4 linked regions of the Schizosaccharomyces pombe genome follow. Changing the gene in region 4 together with the main gene of any one other region gives a genetic interaction. Each region holds a gene or a part of one and is shown on either strand. Other genes may lie near its edges. The genes, in order: top1, sqs1, ace2 and SPOM_SPCP20C8.02C.

What was found.
Region 1: mutations in SPOM_SPCP20C8.02C (region 4) and top1 together harm fitness more than expected from each alone (negative genetic interaction), as found in Schizosaccharomyces pombe (one large-scale study listed by BioGRID).
Region 2: mutations in SPOM_SPCP20C8.02C (region 4) and sqs1 together harm fitness less than expected from each alone (positive genetic interaction), as found in Schizosaccharomyces pombe (one large-scale study listed by BioGRID).
Region 3: mutations in SPOM_SPCP20C8.02C (region 4) and ace2 together harm fitness more than expected from each alone (negative genetic interaction), as found in Schizosaccharomyces pombe (one large-scale study listed by BioGRID).

The regions. Positions count from the first base shown.
Region 1 is NC_003423.3:2,941,214-2,946,246, reverse strand, and holds top1 (DNA topoisomerase I), read left to right. Parts: upstream 1-1,650; 5' UTR 1,651-1,666; coding exon 1,667-1,679; exon of another isoform or gene 1,680-1,732; coding exon 1,733-1,833; exon of another isoform or gene 1,834-1,879; coding exon 1,880-4,210; 3' UTR 4,211-4,513; downstream 4,514-5,033. Other genes in the region: HOPS/CORVET complex subunit, vacuolar sorting protein Vps33, read left to right, coding at 1-260, 312-1,081. UniProt on the Schizosaccharomyces pombe protein: Releases the supercoiling and torsional tension of DNA introduced during the DNA replication and transcription by transiently cleaving and rejoining one strand of the DNA duplex.
Region 2 is NC_003423.3:1,301,064-1,305,696, reverse strand, and holds sqs1 (G-patch and R3H domain-containing protein), read left to right. Parts: upstream 1-1,561; 5' UTR 1,562-1,668; coding exon 1,669-3,756; 3' UTR 3,757-4,100; downstream 4,101-4,633. Other genes in the region: ldb1 (LIM domain binding protein), read left to right, coding at 1-876.
Region 3 is NC_003424.3:3,238,722-3,242,962, reverse strand, and holds ace2 (DNA-binding transcription factor Ace2), read left to right. Parts: upstream 1-1,809; 5' UTR 1,810-1,995; coding exon 1,996-3,597; 3' UTR 3,598-3,731; downstream 3,732-4,241. Other genes in the region: SPOM_SPAC6G9.01C (uncharacterized protein), read left to right, coding at 631-811, 1,210-1,308, 1,393-1,400. UniProt on the Schizosaccharomyces pombe protein: Regulates the transcription of genes required for cell separation.
Region 4 is NC_003421.2:30,044-33,274, reverse strand, and holds SPOM_SPCP20C8.02C (uncharacterized protein), read left to right. Parts: upstream 1-1,754; coding exon 1,755-2,090; 3' UTR 2,091-2,714; downstream 2,715-3,231.

The sequences.
Region 1 (5,033 bases), on a different chromosome or scaffold from region 4:
TCCTTCATCCTTGGTTAACCGAAATGAAGCTTCAAATACTGGACCGATGAAAAAGTTTTCTTTAAGTTCTTCTTCCAGCCAAATTACCAAGGAAATTAGAGACATAAATTTTAATTGCATAGGCCCTTATTTAAGCAAAATTGCTCGAAAACTATCCAGCGATTTTGAAGGTCGACGTCAAGCCAAAACTGTAAATCAGATTAGAGACTTCGTTTCCAAACTGGGTTCCTTACAATCGGAGCATACATCATTAAATATTCGTAAGTATTTTTTTCTTTTGATTTCCATAAAAAATTTTATTAATTAGATAGACACTGGTCTCGCTGAAACTTTGGTGCAACACACAAAAAATAATTACTTTCAAAAGCTACTACAACTTCAGCATTTGCTAGTTTCTCATGCCGATTCTTTTACTCAATTCAATTTATTAGATGAAATTATCTATGCCGAAGCACCTGTTGAAGAGGTTTTTCGAGTACTTTGCCTTGCAAGTATAACTACCAATGGTTTGAGAAGAAAAGATATAGATCATTACCGTAGGGAAATCACTCAAACATATGGTTATTATCACCTTTTAACATTCCAAGCCTTGATAGATGCAGGACTATTGCGCCTCCGGCAATCCACTAATATTTCACTTCAAAAATCATTGTCTTATTCTACATGGTTAAACACTTATCCTTTGGTTAAGGACGAAGTTGATGAGCAGAATCCTGAAGATATAGCCTATACGTACAGCGGGTACGGTCCTTTGTCAGTCCACATAGCATATGACATTTTAAAAGGCAGAGACAATGAAGAAAAAATTCTTAAGTTGCAAAATATGCCTGGAACTTACGTTGACAAGTGGACATTAGACCAGGAAAAGGTCATGCCTAAAAATTTGAAGACAAACGTACCAGGTAAACGTCGTGTTTTAGTTTTTTTCATCGGTGGTTGCACGTACACAGAGCTGGCTGCATTTCGTTTATTGCAAGAAAAAGAAGATTTATATGAATTCACATTTATGACTACGGGAATGGTAACTGGAAGCTCTCTAATAAGAGCTTTTATTCCAAATATTGAATCTTTGAATGAGTGATGATCACCCAGTTTCATTAATTTGTTCAACAGCTAAAGACGATATTTAATCTCATTTTTTTTCACTAAGAGAATCCCATAATTTTAATTATTGTTTTTTTTATTAACCCACTTTATTAAGTCCTTAGTAGTTTATGAATTTGAAGTGGCATTAAAGCTTTCCCTATATGCTGTTAAGCTATTTGCTATTTACTGCCAAAATATTAGCTTACATATTAAATAATAAACCTCCAATATTTGGCAGCTAATGGCTTATTGTATCAATCAAATCACCTTTTTTTTGTTTTGGATATTCAGTGGCTTTTGGTATTGTTTACAATAAATGTAAAGTTAAAGCTTTCAAAATTATTAGAGATTACTTTTCTCGTACTGTTAATGGGTTTATTTTGAAATATGCACATTTATAGCTTTTTGCTGCAAGCTTCGTAACATTAAATTTTATTTTATTTGAAAATTCCAGTTTCTCATTTAGCTACTAATTTTTACAAACATTAATTGTCAATATTTGGTTGTCATGACAACGAGTGTACGTACTCAATATTAATCCTTCTTTTACTGTATTATAGATGTATGCAAACAATTCACAATGTCTTCGTCTGGTAAGGTTTCACGTAATTTAACAACATTTGCAAAATTTTTAACAACTGAAAAGATTCAGATTCCGTGTCTTTATCCATTAGAAGGAGGCAAAGACGCGGTTCATCTAAACGGATTAGTATGAAGGAGTCGGACGAAGAGAGTGATAGTTCTGAAGTATGTTCACAACATAATAATTAAAGATTGTTGACTAATTGTTTAGAATCATCCTCTTAGTGAATCGTTGAATAAGAAATCCAAATCCGAGAGTGATGAGGATGATATACCGATTAGAAAGAGACGTGCTTCTTCAAAGAAAAATATGTCCAATTCAAGCTCTAAAAAAAGAGCTAAAGTAATGGGAAATGGTGGTTTAAAAAACGGAAAAAAAACGGCGGTTGTAAAAGAGGAAGAGGATTTCAATGAAATTGCAAAGCCCTCACCGAAGCATAAACGTGTTTCTAAAGCGAATGGAAGTAAAAATGGCGCGAAGTCAGCTGTTAAAAAAGAGGAAAGTGACACAGATGATTCAGTTCCATTGAGAGCTGTTTCGACTGTATCTTTAACTCCTTACAAATCAGAACTGCCTTCGGGAGCTTCGACCACGCAAAATCGCTCACCAAACGATGAGGAAGATGAAGATGAGGATTACAAGTGGTGGACTTCAGAAAATATCGATGATACTCAAAAATGGACTACATTGGAGCATAATGGTGTAATTTTTGCTCCACCCTATGAACCTTTACCAAAGAACGTCAAGCTAATTTACGATGGAAACCCCGTAAATCTTCCTCCCGAAGCAGAAGAAGTTGCTGGTTTTTATGCTGCAATGCTTGAAACCGATCATGCCAAAAATCCTGTATTCCAAGATAATTTTTTCCGTGACTTCTTAAAGGTCTGTGATGAATGTAACTTTAATCACAACATTAAAGAGTTTTCTAAATGTGATTTTACCCAAATGTTTCACCATTTTGAGCAAAAGAGGGAAGAGAAGAAGAGTATGCCGAAGGAACAGAAGAAGGCAATAAAGCAGAAAAAAGATGAGGAAGAGGAAAAATATAAATGGTGCATACTTGATGGGAGAAAGGAGAAGGTTGGTAACTTTCGTATTGAACCTCCAGGGTTATTTCGTGGTCGAGGTAGTCATCCTAAAACTGGTTCTTTAAAGCGTCGAGTATATCCTGAACAAATTACCATTAATATTGGTGAAGGTGTACCCGTTCCAGAACCACTCCCTGGGCATCAATGGGCGGAGGTAAAGCATGATAATACAGTGACCTGGTTGGCAACCTGGCATGAAAATATAAATAATAATGTCAAATATGTCTTTTTAGCTGCAGGAAGTTCTCTAAAAGGACAGAGTGACTTAAAAAAATACGAAAAGTCAAGAAAGCTTAAGGATTATATTGATGATATCCGTAAAGGCTACCGGAAAGATTTGAAAAGTGAGTTAACGGTTGAGCGTCAAAGAGGAACTGCCATGTATTTAATTGATGTTTTTGCTTTAAGAGCAGGAAATGAAAAGGGTGAAGACGAGGCGGATACTGTTGGTTGTTGTTCACTGCGATATGAACATGTTACACTGAAGCCACCACGAACAGTCGTTTTCGATTTTCTTGGTAAAGATTCTATTCGTTACTACAACGAGGTTGAAGTTGATCCCCAAGTTTTTAAAAATCTAAAGATCTTTAAACGTCCTCCCAAAAAAGAGGGTGATTTAATTTTCGACCGTCTCAGTACAAACAGTCTTAACAAATATCTGACTAGCCTTATGGATGGACTTTCAGCTAAAGTATTTCGTACCTACAATGCTTCATACACCATGGCCGAGGAACTTAAGAAAATGCCTAAGAACCTCACCCTTGCAGACAAAATACTATTTTATAATAGGGCAAATAGGACTGTTGCAATTTTATGTAATCATCAACGTTCCGTAACCAAAAATCACGATGTTCAAATGGAACGGTTTGCCGAAAGGATTAAGGCATTACAATACCAGCGGATGAGACTGCGAAAAATGATGCTGAATTTAGAGCCCAAGCTTGCTAAAAGCAAGCCCGAATTGCTGGCTAAAGAAGAAGGCATTACCGATTCATGGATCGTAAAACATCACGAGACACTTTACGAACTAGAAAAAGAGAAAATAAAAAAGAAATTCGATCGTGAGAACGAAAAATTAGCTGCTGAGGATCCCAAATCAGTGCTTCCGGAATCTGAATTGGAAGTTCGATTGAAAGCGGCTGATGAGTTGAAGAAAGCGCTGGACGCTGAACTTAAAAGCAAAAAAGTCGATCCAGGTCGTTCTTCGATGGAACAACTTGAGAAAAGATTAAACAAACTCAATGAACGAATTAATGTTATGCGTACTCAGATGATCGATAAAGACGAGAATAAAACTACTGCTTTGGGTACAAGTAAGATTAACTACATAGACCCGAGGCTTACTTATTCGTTCAGCAAGCGAGAAGACGTTCCTATTGAGAAGCTGTTTAGTAAGACGATTCGTGACAAGTTCAATTGGGCTGCTGATACACCTCCGGATTGGAAGTGGTAAGTCCTCTACGATTTAAGAAAAGTATCTTTCATTGAACTTTTTAAAAAAAAATTATTTATTATCATCCTACGGCAGACAAATTGTGAAAGTGCTTCGTAATTTCGTGACTTAATGATGTCTTGAAATGAATGCTAGCGTACAACAACTTAGTGTGCTGAAAGAAGGAATTAATTACTTCTAGTTTAGTGTTTAATAAAAATTCATACAAAAAATGCAAAGCTAAGGAAGTTTTTTCAGCAAAAATATAGACAGAATAAAATTTAGCACAAAACAAATTGAACGTGACATTTCATACTATCCCCATTGCATTTGGCTTTTTTTTTCATAATTACTGTTTACTCTTGAGGTCTTTTTCTTTAATATTGGTGAAATGCCTGTTACGATCATCAAATTCAATATACAAGCAAACTTACTCTTGTAAACAATTTTTTTTTTGTTTTTTTTTTTTTACAAATAGAAAAGGAAAGAAAAGCCAAGCTGCTGCTTTTTTAATCTTTATACCAATTACTCTTCTTTGGTTGTACTAAATAGTTTTTCAAGCACTTCTATACCATCCAAATTACTTTTTTCTCTAGCGTTTACATTTGACTGCCTTTTTCGCATCTTTAAACCCGGTTTCCACTTTTTCGTTCTCTTTGTCAGATTGGCACAAGTTCCGGTATAGCAGAAATATCAGTGGAAGAGATTTTGTCTCACTATTTGCTGGAGCAATCCAATGCAACCACGAGCGGATACAATCGGGTTGGTAAAGATTAAATTACGTAAAACAAAGTATGAACACACTAGCATTTGGATCCTACCTTCTACGAGTACCTACATTTAC
Region 2 (4,633 bases), on a different chromosome or scaffold from region 4:
TTCCTTTTGGGAAATACAAAGGAATTTGCCATTCCAAACAATGGGTATTTTGTGGAATCGTCAAGGGCAAGCATTTTATATCAGTATCAAGGCGGTGTACAGGTAATTGTATCGGGGCACTTGCGGGCTCATTTCTTTCGTGCTCCTTTGTTAAAATTAGACTCTTTAGAGTTTTCAGCTGTCGGACATTCCGAGTATCTTTTGCGCGAGTTAATGACAAACGCTTCCCTAGCCCTTTCGCAGTCGCGGCCTCCTCAAAATCAAATACAACACGATGGGGTAAAAAGTGAGGATCCGTCATCCGAAAGTGTAAATATTAACTCATCTTCTTCTCTTTTGCCGGATTCACCCGTCAACGAATATGGATTGGAACCGCACATCATGCGGTTCATGGAAATTACTGAAACAATTTCGGGAATGCGCGATCTCATAGCCTTCACTCTTGCTCAGCGATCGGGTCCGACTAGCGCTTTACATAAATTTGCTACAGCTTTACAACAACAGCATCAAATGCAAAAGTCTACTTCCTCTAATATTCCATATGCAAATCCAGCCCCCTCGGGGTTTAATGGCTCGCCTAGGAATGGTGATGTTGCTAGTCTTGCCTCTAATTATCGTTATGCCAAGCAACCTCCCACTATGCCTGCTAATGCAATTAGTCAAGCTAATCGTCTTTTGGACCAAAATAATATCCCCAATATGGATCCATCAATTCTTCCTCAATCCATGCCGATTGCCTCTGTTCCGCCCTATAGTCTTCAGGGGATTAAACGCCAAGGTACCCATTCCCCAATGGTTGAAGGTGAAAATCCCAACAATAATCCTAACTTCTATTCTTCTGATATGCTGAACGCTCAAAAACGTACCAAGGTATAGCTGTTTTTTTGTATTTAATATTCGGTTCGCTCGCTACTTATACATATATCTGCACTCACTGTTATTTTTCGTTGTCTAAGTTTGAAATTCTTAAGAAAAATTTCTATTACTTTCTTTTTTTTGAGCGTATTACATTATTTATTCCTTTTTCTGAATACACTTTTGTGTATGTGTTCAACTTCAAATTCCTTACCGTTCTCATCATATGCAGAATTTGTCATCTCGTTCCCTATTCGACGCTTCTCTTTTATACTTTTAAAATAAAAAGGAATTTTTTTCATTATAAAGTAATTCTATGTATTTTTACATTGCTCCCTGTTTCAAGAACAAATCGTTTCCCCTGTCGTTGCTCTCGAGGGACGTAAAAGAAACTGCATTAGTATAGCGTTCTATATTCTAACATTCTATTTCTTGCACTATTTACATTATAGTTATTTGGCTGTTTTATATGTTTTATACAAAAATTTATAACTTATAATTACATGATGAGCTACTGTCGGTTAATTCATATTCAACTTTGAGTCGGTCAATGTATGAATCTCCTCAACTTCAGTTTAAATAGACGTGTATACTTGAAATTAATAGTTAAATTGTAAATTGAATATTTAGAAATTTGTATTTAATACCGTGGCAAAATCGTTTAGTGTACTATATGAAGCACTTTCCCCCAAGACTCCATCCTACTACCACCATTTGGTTTACGCACCTCACAATTTAGGATTTCACCATCATTATTTATTAAAACAATTATATATTATTTTTTTTATCATATTTTTTGACTTGTATCCCTCAATGTCAAATTTTGATGATCTACAGATTTTAGATCAGTTACAAACTTCTGCCAGGTTTCGTGGTGATACACGAATCCGAAGATTTAAGGGATCCAATAATTCTAAAAGCCCTTTTGGTTTAAACCCTAGTAGTCGAATTTCACAATGGCCCCGAATTACCTTTATACGTGCTAAGGACAATTACAACCCGGCGGAAGAATTGTGTCAATTAATCGATGAACAAAATGCCCACAATGAAGCTAAGCACCAAAGCAAAGAGATTATGCTTCCCAAGGAAACCAACGTTAAGTCCTGCGAAGATTTATCAAAAACCGGTGAAATAAAGGCGTTGGACATTGTGTTATTTAAAGCAATTACTTCGAAAGGTGATACATTGAAAGTAAAGAAAATTCCGGAATATGCGGAAGCGTTTGATACCACCAAGAATGTAGAAGTTTCAAGTTTTCCTGAGAAAAGCATGAACGAAAATGTTTTGATTCAGCATTCTTTAAATCTTGCACCAAGTGATAAGGAAATTTCATCTACAGAAGAAAGTGAGCAGTTGTGTTACAAAGAACAAGAATCTGAGAAGGAGTTATATTCTAAAGATAATGATGACTCTTTAGACATACTAAATGTTCCAAACTTGGTCAATGATGATATTGCTAACAATAACGCTGCACCTCCACCGCCTTTGGCTCAGGCACAGGAGCAGTTGAGTACCGAAAATGAAGACGAGTTTGATATTGATGACACCACCGATAAAATGACTACGTTTACTATGAACAAGTTTGCCGACCTCTCCGTTTTAGAAGAAGATGATGATGATGAGGACGAAGATGAAGAGCTAGAAGGAGAGAAAGAAGAGGAGGAAGAGGAGAAAGAAAAACCTGAAATATCAAATTACGATGAGACAGAGGGTAAAGTAAATTTTTCACTTGAAGATTCGGAATCTTTAGAATTTGATGAGGGATCAGATGACTATGATTATGCTAAGTTAACGACGGAACTTGTGGGAAATACAGATTCATTAGCCGAAGATGAAGATGATATTTTGGAAGAAGATGAAGATGAAGATGAAGAAGAGCTTTTGGCAATTTTTGATGCTAGTGATGATTCCGAGATTGAGGCATACCTTAGTATTGGAGATACTTTGCAAAATGATTTTACTATTTATGATTATGACAGTGAGGATGAAGAGTACAATAACCCCTCAACTCAAAAAACGGAAAAAGTTTCTCAAAGCAAAAAAGGGGCGAAGGTAAAAGAAGAAAAAGGTTTGAAAAAAGATCGCAAACTTCCTAAAAAAATGCGTAAAGCTCAAAAGAAATTAGAGAGAAAGGCAGGAAAGGCTGTGGCCGCTAGAATGGGAGATGCCTTTTCCAATTCTTTGGACGATGAGAGCATGAACTTGTACGCTGAATTGCAAGAACAATGGCTTAAAGATAAAAGCAAAAAGGCAAGAAGACGAGCGGAAAGGGAGAAACTCCGCTCTGAGGGGCTACTTGGAAAGAAAAGCAAAAAGAAACTTTTGCGCGAAAGCCAGAAGCCGTCTTCTTCCGATTCTGACAATGCTAGTCTTACACGAATTGATAAGATATTTATAAATGATGTTTATCAACGGATGCAACAGTTTAAGCACTCGGCCATTGAAGAAATTTCCCTTCCTCCATGCAGAAAATATGTTCGTCGATTGGTTCATGCGCTTGCCAACGATTTGAACTTGAAGTCGAGAAGTTATGGATCTGGAAACAAGCGGTATACTATGCTTTCCAAAACTCATAAATTTGATGCATCTAGTGTGGATTTGGTTTCACTTACCAGGATTATGGAGCGTTTACAGACCAGGGTTGAGTATCAGTCATTTTCCAAATCTGGTAGGAAATCTCGAATGACTGTTTCCTCTGTGAGGTCGAGTAAAGCCACACGTGTATATGATGGCCAAATTGTTGGAGAAGATGCCCCTGAAATTAGCAAAGAAAATCCAGGTCGTCGGTTGCTCGAAAAGTTAGGATGGTATGCAGGTAAAGGACTTGGTCATCCCGAAAATGAAGGTTCCAAAGATAGTTTACGTGCTATTGTTAAAGTTAGCAGAAGTGGTTTAGGTTAGAAAACCAGGGTGACTGGTCAAACCGAGAAACTAATCAGCTGTGTCTTATTTACTTGAGATAATACTCCAATTTATATATATATATATATAAATATATACTATTCTAGGTTAAGCATCATATTCAAATTAGCGATTTGTACATATTGATGTGAAGTAAAAAATTAACCGTGGGTACTTCGACATGGTGTCTTTCCATTCAAGAGATAAACCGGAAATCCAGAAAGATAACTATCTTTTATTTTAAGATATAAACTTCATTTAAATAGACAGAATAATTATTCTCACTACAGGAGCAATTGAATATGTAAGTTGCTGCTATGGGCATACTGCAGCTAAAGAAGTTCTACAAAACGGTGATATCGCAGTGTACAGAGTTATTATTGCTATTTAAAGAAGATAATCGTAAAATCAGTTAGCGTTTAATATATAACACGTGTAATACAGTATAAGGAGTTATGTAAAGTAACGTTTAGGTCATTTTAACAGGCAATATCGGTCAATAGTGATACCCAACATCGCACTATTCGCAGTTTCAACCAAGTATCAATCGGAGCCTTTTTCATTCGTTAAATAGTATAAGGCAAAAATACCGTTTCGGTAAGGGTCAATAGTGTTCGCCTAGGTTCGACTGACTTCAGCCTTTATGGGGCCCGTCGGAGCTAACTTTTCCACTTAACAACTAATCGAATTCTTAAGTGTTTTTTGACGACAATCTGTCAAACACTGTATCCTTATTAAGGAACTAGTGTATTGTTTAAAGTAAAGGAGTTTTCAAGCCTGGGAAGCTCGAAGAAACGATTCAAACGGAAGCTCTGTGGATAGCCAAGTTCGGTACGGGTTTGTACTTTCGTCCCCGAGTATTTTGTTGAACTTCAGG
Region 3 (4,241 bases), on a different chromosome or scaffold from region 4:
TTTGCCTTATTTCTCTAAGGTGGTTTCTAGGCTGAAAAAGAATTGACAGAGGTTTTGAGCTGATTTTCATTGTCAAATAGTATTCACTTTATTTTTATCTTATGCTTAATTACTAAAGTATTTCGTTTATTAAGCAATGAGATTTTGCATTTGTTAATTTGATACAGCAATAATTCGCTTCTTAAATGAAGACAAAAAGTGTTAATTTATGGTATTAGGATAGAGTTGACCTAAATATGCTTTTATAAAGAAAGCTTGGCCAAAGAATTGTCTACATTTTATTGCCGTTTCGAAATACCGATGACAGAGGTGATACAGCTTCTAAACAAAATTAAACAATTTTAAACATAATAAAGAACCAAAGGAAAAAAAAGGAATCGATCAATCTCATGCCTTAATGCTGGTACAAGTTTCTTCTGAAGAATCATTCTTATAAATATTACAAATTCTTTACCGTAATACGAGAGAATACGTTATGCAGATTTAAGCATTTTAGAGAATTCTTATTTTATGAAGCACGGTACCGCAAAAGAATTTCTAGCAAGTTTGCAAGCTACAACAAACTGTCTCTCTACTCAATTATACAATTGCCATTGACTTGGCAAACTCCTCTCTACGAGTATTTAAAAGATGGAAATCGACGACATTTTTGCTTCTAAAAAGGCAAACCCTGCAAATGAAAAGTCAAATGACTCAAAGTCGGAGGCGAAAGCCCCTAAGAAAGGAGCCAAGACAAAATCTACTCCAAGTCGTCCAAAACCTACTAATAACCAAGACGATTTATTTTTAGATCCAAAGGGAGCCTCAGGAAGTAAGACACTTTTTGCCGTTTGATAGTTCATCCTTACATACGTTCTCGCTACTTGGTTAATGATTGCATTCGTTCATGTTTGGCATCCGCGTTGTTTGTCAATTCTTTGACCTCAAATTCATATTTATTGTCTAAAAGATTGAGAAACTTCGAACTGTGCTATATACTTATTTATTTATTATATACTGCTAGAGCTAGATTACGTTTTTCTAGGGAGATACATTTCACAATGATGTTTAGTGTTGGTGGAGACTCCAAATCATTAAGCTCTATTGTGTGGTATTGAACCTTATTCGCTATTCTGTTTACGGGAATGTTTGCCGAACGATGCAATACTTACCTAGCAACGGCACTTTTCTCCTTATCATCAGTAATTGTATTAACGTTTTGTGTTTTAGGAAAGCGTACCGAGGAAGGGTTTCTTGTATATGACGAGGAGGAATTAAACATTGGCCAAGGTGGAGGTACACCGGATTGCCCTTTTGATTGTCAGTGTTGTAAGTAACTTATTCATTGCATTTAAAAACTTTTCCATGGCATTTTTTCTCTTGCTAGCTCTATACTAATACTAATACCTTAAGGTTTTTGATCTCAACGTCGTTGTCGTTTTTTCAGGTTGGTTACCGTTTTTTTTTGGCTTGTCATACTTAATCTATGTTTTCTAATATCATCCATGATCCAGTTGTTGAAGCGTAGACATTTTCATAGCCGTGATTATCCTGTTTATTAGTGGTAGTGTCTTTCAATCAAACCTTTTACTGGTTTAATTCAAAAAATAGTTGATTTGTCCCTTTGGCAACAAAAGGTAAATAAACAATCCCTGGGTCTGTGTTTACACTTGTATTGCGTTGTTGTGATATGGTTCGGTAATCCATGCAATGTAAACAAATAGTGACTTGTTTTGCGGTAAAGTGAAGCATAAAATTCAACAATTGTCGTCATAGCAACGGAGTAGCTATTTGATATAAACAAATAGCCAGCGCACCAAACATTGCTGTAACAAACAAAAAAAAATCGAAGAGTGATTAGTTCAATCATCTACTGGGTTAGACTGGCTTTGAGCCACACTTTCATCTCACTTCAAGTTATCAAGCACTCTTTTCAAGAGTCATTTCTCTCATCGTTCTCTCCTTGATTTCTCTACGCATTGCACTAGATACTCGCTATCCTAAGTAAACAAGACAATGTCGCTTTCATATTTATCATCTTCTTCGCAAAAGTCGTTTGAATCATTTCGACAAGAAGAGAGTCCAGCTTGTAATCATTCGTACCAAAGGGATTATGAAACTTTTGGCGATAGCAAGCATACTTCTTTTTCCTCCTTCGCTCCCTTTGAAAATGAGGTGTCTTTAAATCAAGCTGTTATCCCTTCACCGCCTTCTCATCTTCAGAACTTTCAAGATCAGTTTGACTATAGTTCTGTTCTAAAAACACCGTTTAACCCTTTGTTGGAAGCGAATTCTGCATACTTTTTATCGAACCAAATATCGCTCCCCGACTCTCACTCGTATGCATCCTCCTTTGATGCTTCCTTATCACCCCCTTCCTCGCCTTTAACTTGCGTATCACAAATCCATACCGAGCAAAATTTTAATAACAATGACGCATTTTCCTTGACCAACTCTCAACAGGCCTTTTCCGAAATTGGTTATGATGCATCAAATTGGATTGATGAGCTGGACTCTCAACAACAAGTCCTTTCGTTTCCTGAGTTTGACATACCAGAAATAAAGACGGAAACTTGCTCCAACAAAGATCACCTCGAAAATTTCGACTACCTTTCCTCAAGTATACCTGAAACCTCGGGTCCTGCCTCTTCCGTTCTTCCCAGCTCTTCGCAATTGGAATCATTTAATGAGTTTATGTTCCTCCCATCCTCTCCCCCTGGATTAGATGAGATAAACGGTGCGCCTTCATTTGAAGAATTGAACTTTCAAATATCCCAACCAAGTCCGGCACATCCTGTAGACTTATCGAGTCCAGAGACTGCACCTAATATCTCCCCTGTATCCCCATTTGCCCAACTTGTAAAGCTAGAGCCCACTTCGCCTCAAAAGCCCTCCTTTGCTCTAGATTCTTCGTTTTCCCATTTGGATGTATGCAGGCATACTGACAACCAGAAAGCGTTTGCAAAGTTATCATCACCTGCTGAATACGTTTCTGAATTTGAAAAATTCTCATCCGTTTGCGATCATGGACTTGACATATCGAACGCAAATATCAACAACACTTTGACACAGCAGTTTGCATTAAGTGCACCTTATGAATCTTGCATAGTTACCAAGAAACCTGAACCTTGTATCACTGTCAAGGAAGAAGAACAATTAGCTCCAAAAATTGAATCTGCTGATTTATCAATTACTCCTCAAGTCACCGAGCATGATTCCAAACCTCCGGTCAGAATTTCATACGATCATAGATGCAAAACTCGCAAGCAATCAACTAGGATTTGTAGAATTCCTCCGGAGACAATGGCTAGCTTATATTGCGGCCCTGAAGCAGATGGAAAGTACGTCTGTTTGTACAACGGGTGCAATAAACGTATTGCTCGCAAATATAATGTTGAATCGCATATTCAAACACATCTGAGCGACCGTCCGTATCGCTGTGACTTATGCAAAGCTGGCTTTGTTCGTCACCACGATCTTAAGCGTCATCTGAGGATTCACGAAAATGGCAGGCCATATGTATGTGAATGCTTAAAGAGATTTAACCGACTTGATGCCTTAAATCGGCATAAGCAGAGAAATATATGTGTTGGCGGCGTAGATCGCAGACAGCACTAATGATGACAGCTGTACAACTTGCATCGCATTGCATTATAATGAGTTATGTTTGGTTTTTTTTTGGGATTTTTTAATTTTACTAATATTATTGTTTTTAATTTGCTTTTATATAAATTCAAATTCAAGCATCGTACATGAACTAATGCTGTGACAATTTTGATAATTTATCAACTTGTATCTGTCTTTTGTATATTTATTCATCACCCTAGTATTGTGTATAACTCTGCATCATCTAAAATCTACAGATTAATCTTTGTGAAATGGAAATACAACTATGAAGTTGTTCGTATCGTTGAACGGCTGAAATGGTAAAACTAGTTTCCCCAAACCTGACAAACAACTTGGATACATGAGTAAGAATTAGTGTTTGCTTTCACTCGCACCGATGTTTAGTCAACATATGTTTAAGTTGGTATTTCTAGGGAAAACTTGTATTTAATTACTATAGTATGCGAAGTATTTCATTGGAAAACAGTGGTTGTAGTATGCTGCCAAGCAAGCATTTATTATGATAATAATAATTCAACAAATTAATCACTATGACTTAAACAGAGAAACCAATGATTGTTTTAACTATTATTGCTGGTCATTGGAGGAAATTTTGTCGGCAAGAGAAAAGATAATTCATTTCTATTTGCAAAGAA
Region 4 (3,231 bases):
ATGGTACTGGAACAGCCGAATAATGCATATTTGAACGGACCATATTTTCATATTTTTTTGTTAGCATCATCGACTTGCAAGAACGATCATCAATTTTTTGCATCGTTTGAGCCATATTATTAAATCTTTCTTCAGTTTTTTGATCCAAAAGATCGATTTTTCTATCTAATTGAGATATAGAACCTTTGATGGCAGTTAATTCGTTCTTAAAAGTAGTTGCTTTACCTTTGATGGAAGCAATGTCATTTTTCATGACAGTCATCTCATTGTACATAGCGTCAAACCTAGAATTCATGTCATTCTGCGTTGAGTTATTTTAGAAAATATTCGCTCGAAAATTCCTCCTAGTTTAGTATTTGCCCATTCGTCTATCCAGCGTGGAAACTGTAATTCTCCCAATGGTTCCTCCGGAACTTCCCTTTCTATCGCCAATCTCTTCCAATTTCGCAACTTTTGATCACATTCAGTTTCAAATCTATTTAATGTTCCTTTGCTTGACGAAAATTTTTCAATCGTTTCCTGATTATTCTCACCGAATTCTAGTAAAGCAGAATTTAGAGATCTTTCGAATTTCTTGATAAACGGTTGCAAGTCTTCTGCTGAATCATCTGGTGGAGGTAAGTCGAAACCATTTTCAAAATTCTCGTTTGACGTCGATTTTTAATCAATAATGAGCGTAGTCATTTTTTAGAAAGATATAGTGTGTTGTTCTAGTAAATGTTAACGCTGTTTATTAAAAGTTGGTAGAGTGTTTTAAACGTGTTGTTCAATATGTATCCAGGATCAAGAACACCAGATAAAAATACAATTACAAAGTTACACCAGTTTATGTATAAATATATATATAATTTTCAAAGCCTTTGGAACCCTCATTATCTACAATGAAAACAAAGCATGCAAAGGACCAAAAGAGGTAAACAAAGAAAAGAAAACAAAAATAGGGCCTTTAATAAGTAAGAACAATGAAAATGTCTAGTGGCGCAGATGTTTAGATAAATAGATAACTGCATTATATGTTTGCATTAAATAATTCCAGTTTGGAAATATAAGAAACTTATTCTAACCTGTACTCACCTATGTCAATTTTCTAAAGATAAAGTTAAAATAAAATAAAAATAAGTTTTTAACTTTATCTTCAGTTGTCTGGTGTTTCTTAACCTTCATCCCATGGGTATACAAAAATAAACAAAACATTGAAAGGAATTATATTATCACTCAAAACTGCTTTTTGCTAAGAATTTGACTCATTGTTGAAATTTTTTTCCTTTCGTTTAACAGGAAAAGATCAAAGATTATTGCTTTGAACATATTCCAACTAATTCCAAGTCGGTTAAAAAAGCGCTCCTATGATTTTAACGAAAGGTGCTGAGGCAGTGTTCTTCCTCTACGCAGTTTGGTTTTAGAAAGACGATACAATAAGATGCGCTGGTGTTTACCAATATCAAGTTGCTACATATAGTACCTGTGTATTGCAATATAATAGATCACAAGGAAAACTCACCGCGGTTCTAAGTATGTTAAACAGATACCAAACCGCGTAGCTAACACTGACTCCTCATACATCAAATGCCCCCGGCAACAACCGAGTTAGTCGCATGGGACAATTATCATGTAATATATCATTTCAAACCGTTAATATTGTTCAACTACAAAAATTAATTTAAAGGTAGAACTCAGTATATATACACTTTTTTTCGGTTAGTTTTATAAGCTAAACGGAGAAAGATATAACATTAGAACCTGACAGATCTTATATGTTATTGCTGTTTTGTATTTGTTGTGTATTCATAAAACTTGTCTTAGCTGAGGTGAATTTGACTTTTGTTGACTATGCTAAGCTGCCTCCCAACTATGCAGAATTACTTGCTAATTTAATTGACCAACATGGACTGATGCTATTTGATACAGCTGATGTACGAATTGAAGCTTACAACTACTTATTAAATAGCATTACAGAAACAAACACTGATACCGATGCTTACTTATGTCAACTTCTAACAGGTCAGTATACCACTGATTGTTATATATTTGGTGACAGTGTTTATGAAGGACCTGAAAATATCAATCCTTCAACCAGGTATATCGATTAAGGATTTGGACATTAGCTTTTGCAATGTACAAGGGGCGAATAAGAGACAAACCGTGTCTCTTGCTTCTTGTGGTGTGTTGATAGCACATCTGTACAATGTTCAATACAAATATGTCGATGATAGTCAAGCAAGTTGGTTTGTGACAACAACTACGGAGTTTCATGGAGTTGCATAGTAGGAGGTCAAAGCTTTCTAAGTTTAGGTTGTCTAGTAGAGAGATGTGAAGGACACTGTGCTGGTTCCGAACAGACAATGCAATGGAGCTGCAAAGTTAAAGGAGCTGGAGTCAATTCCAAGTTTACGGACTACTGCAAGAGAAGTCGTCCAACAGGTTGTACTCAGCTATTTAGGCAACGCAAGGTATATAGCGTATTTCCATTTATAGATATTGTCATTGATGATACCTACGAATGAAGTCACCAGCAATTTTATCTCAGGGTAGTAAATGGTGACTTTATTTGAGATCATGTTTAGAGCTTAGTGGTCTATGAAGTTGAACTAGTCCGACTCACAAACCAGATGAGATCGCCCGATTTGAGATGATTAGAATAATCTTAATTTTAAATGAGTGAATAATACACAGGATAAATGGTATAGGCAGGATTAAGAGATGTCAGTACTTGTAAAAACGAAGCGAGTAATTGGATAATAAATATGGGTTAAATAAATGTCAACTTAGACCAATAGTTAGTCAAGAATATACAAAACTCAATCTTTCCAAATTAAATAAATTGTGTTTATGTACGATAAAAGTTCCTTTTGGATATCAATGTGTAACATTACGTAAATGGGCAAATTTGCCATTTTATTTTTTATTCAATTTATTTAAATATAGTTTTCTTTAGAGGCGTTTCTATTCTATCTAGCATTTTCAAGCTAAATGACAATTGTACATATCAAGTATTATGTAGGAGTTTTTACGTATTTGCTTTGTGCAGTTTACCTATTATATTTGCTCATAGTAACTATTTAACAGCAGAGGTATATTTCAATGAAAGTATACTTGCTTGAGAGTTTCTTAAACACATTGTTTCAGGAACGTGAAAAAACTCTTTCGTCTTAAAATAATTGGGGGTATTCTATTAAGCTTTGTTTCTTTCATTAATTTGCAGAGGCTATTTCAATAACCAGTTTATATCCC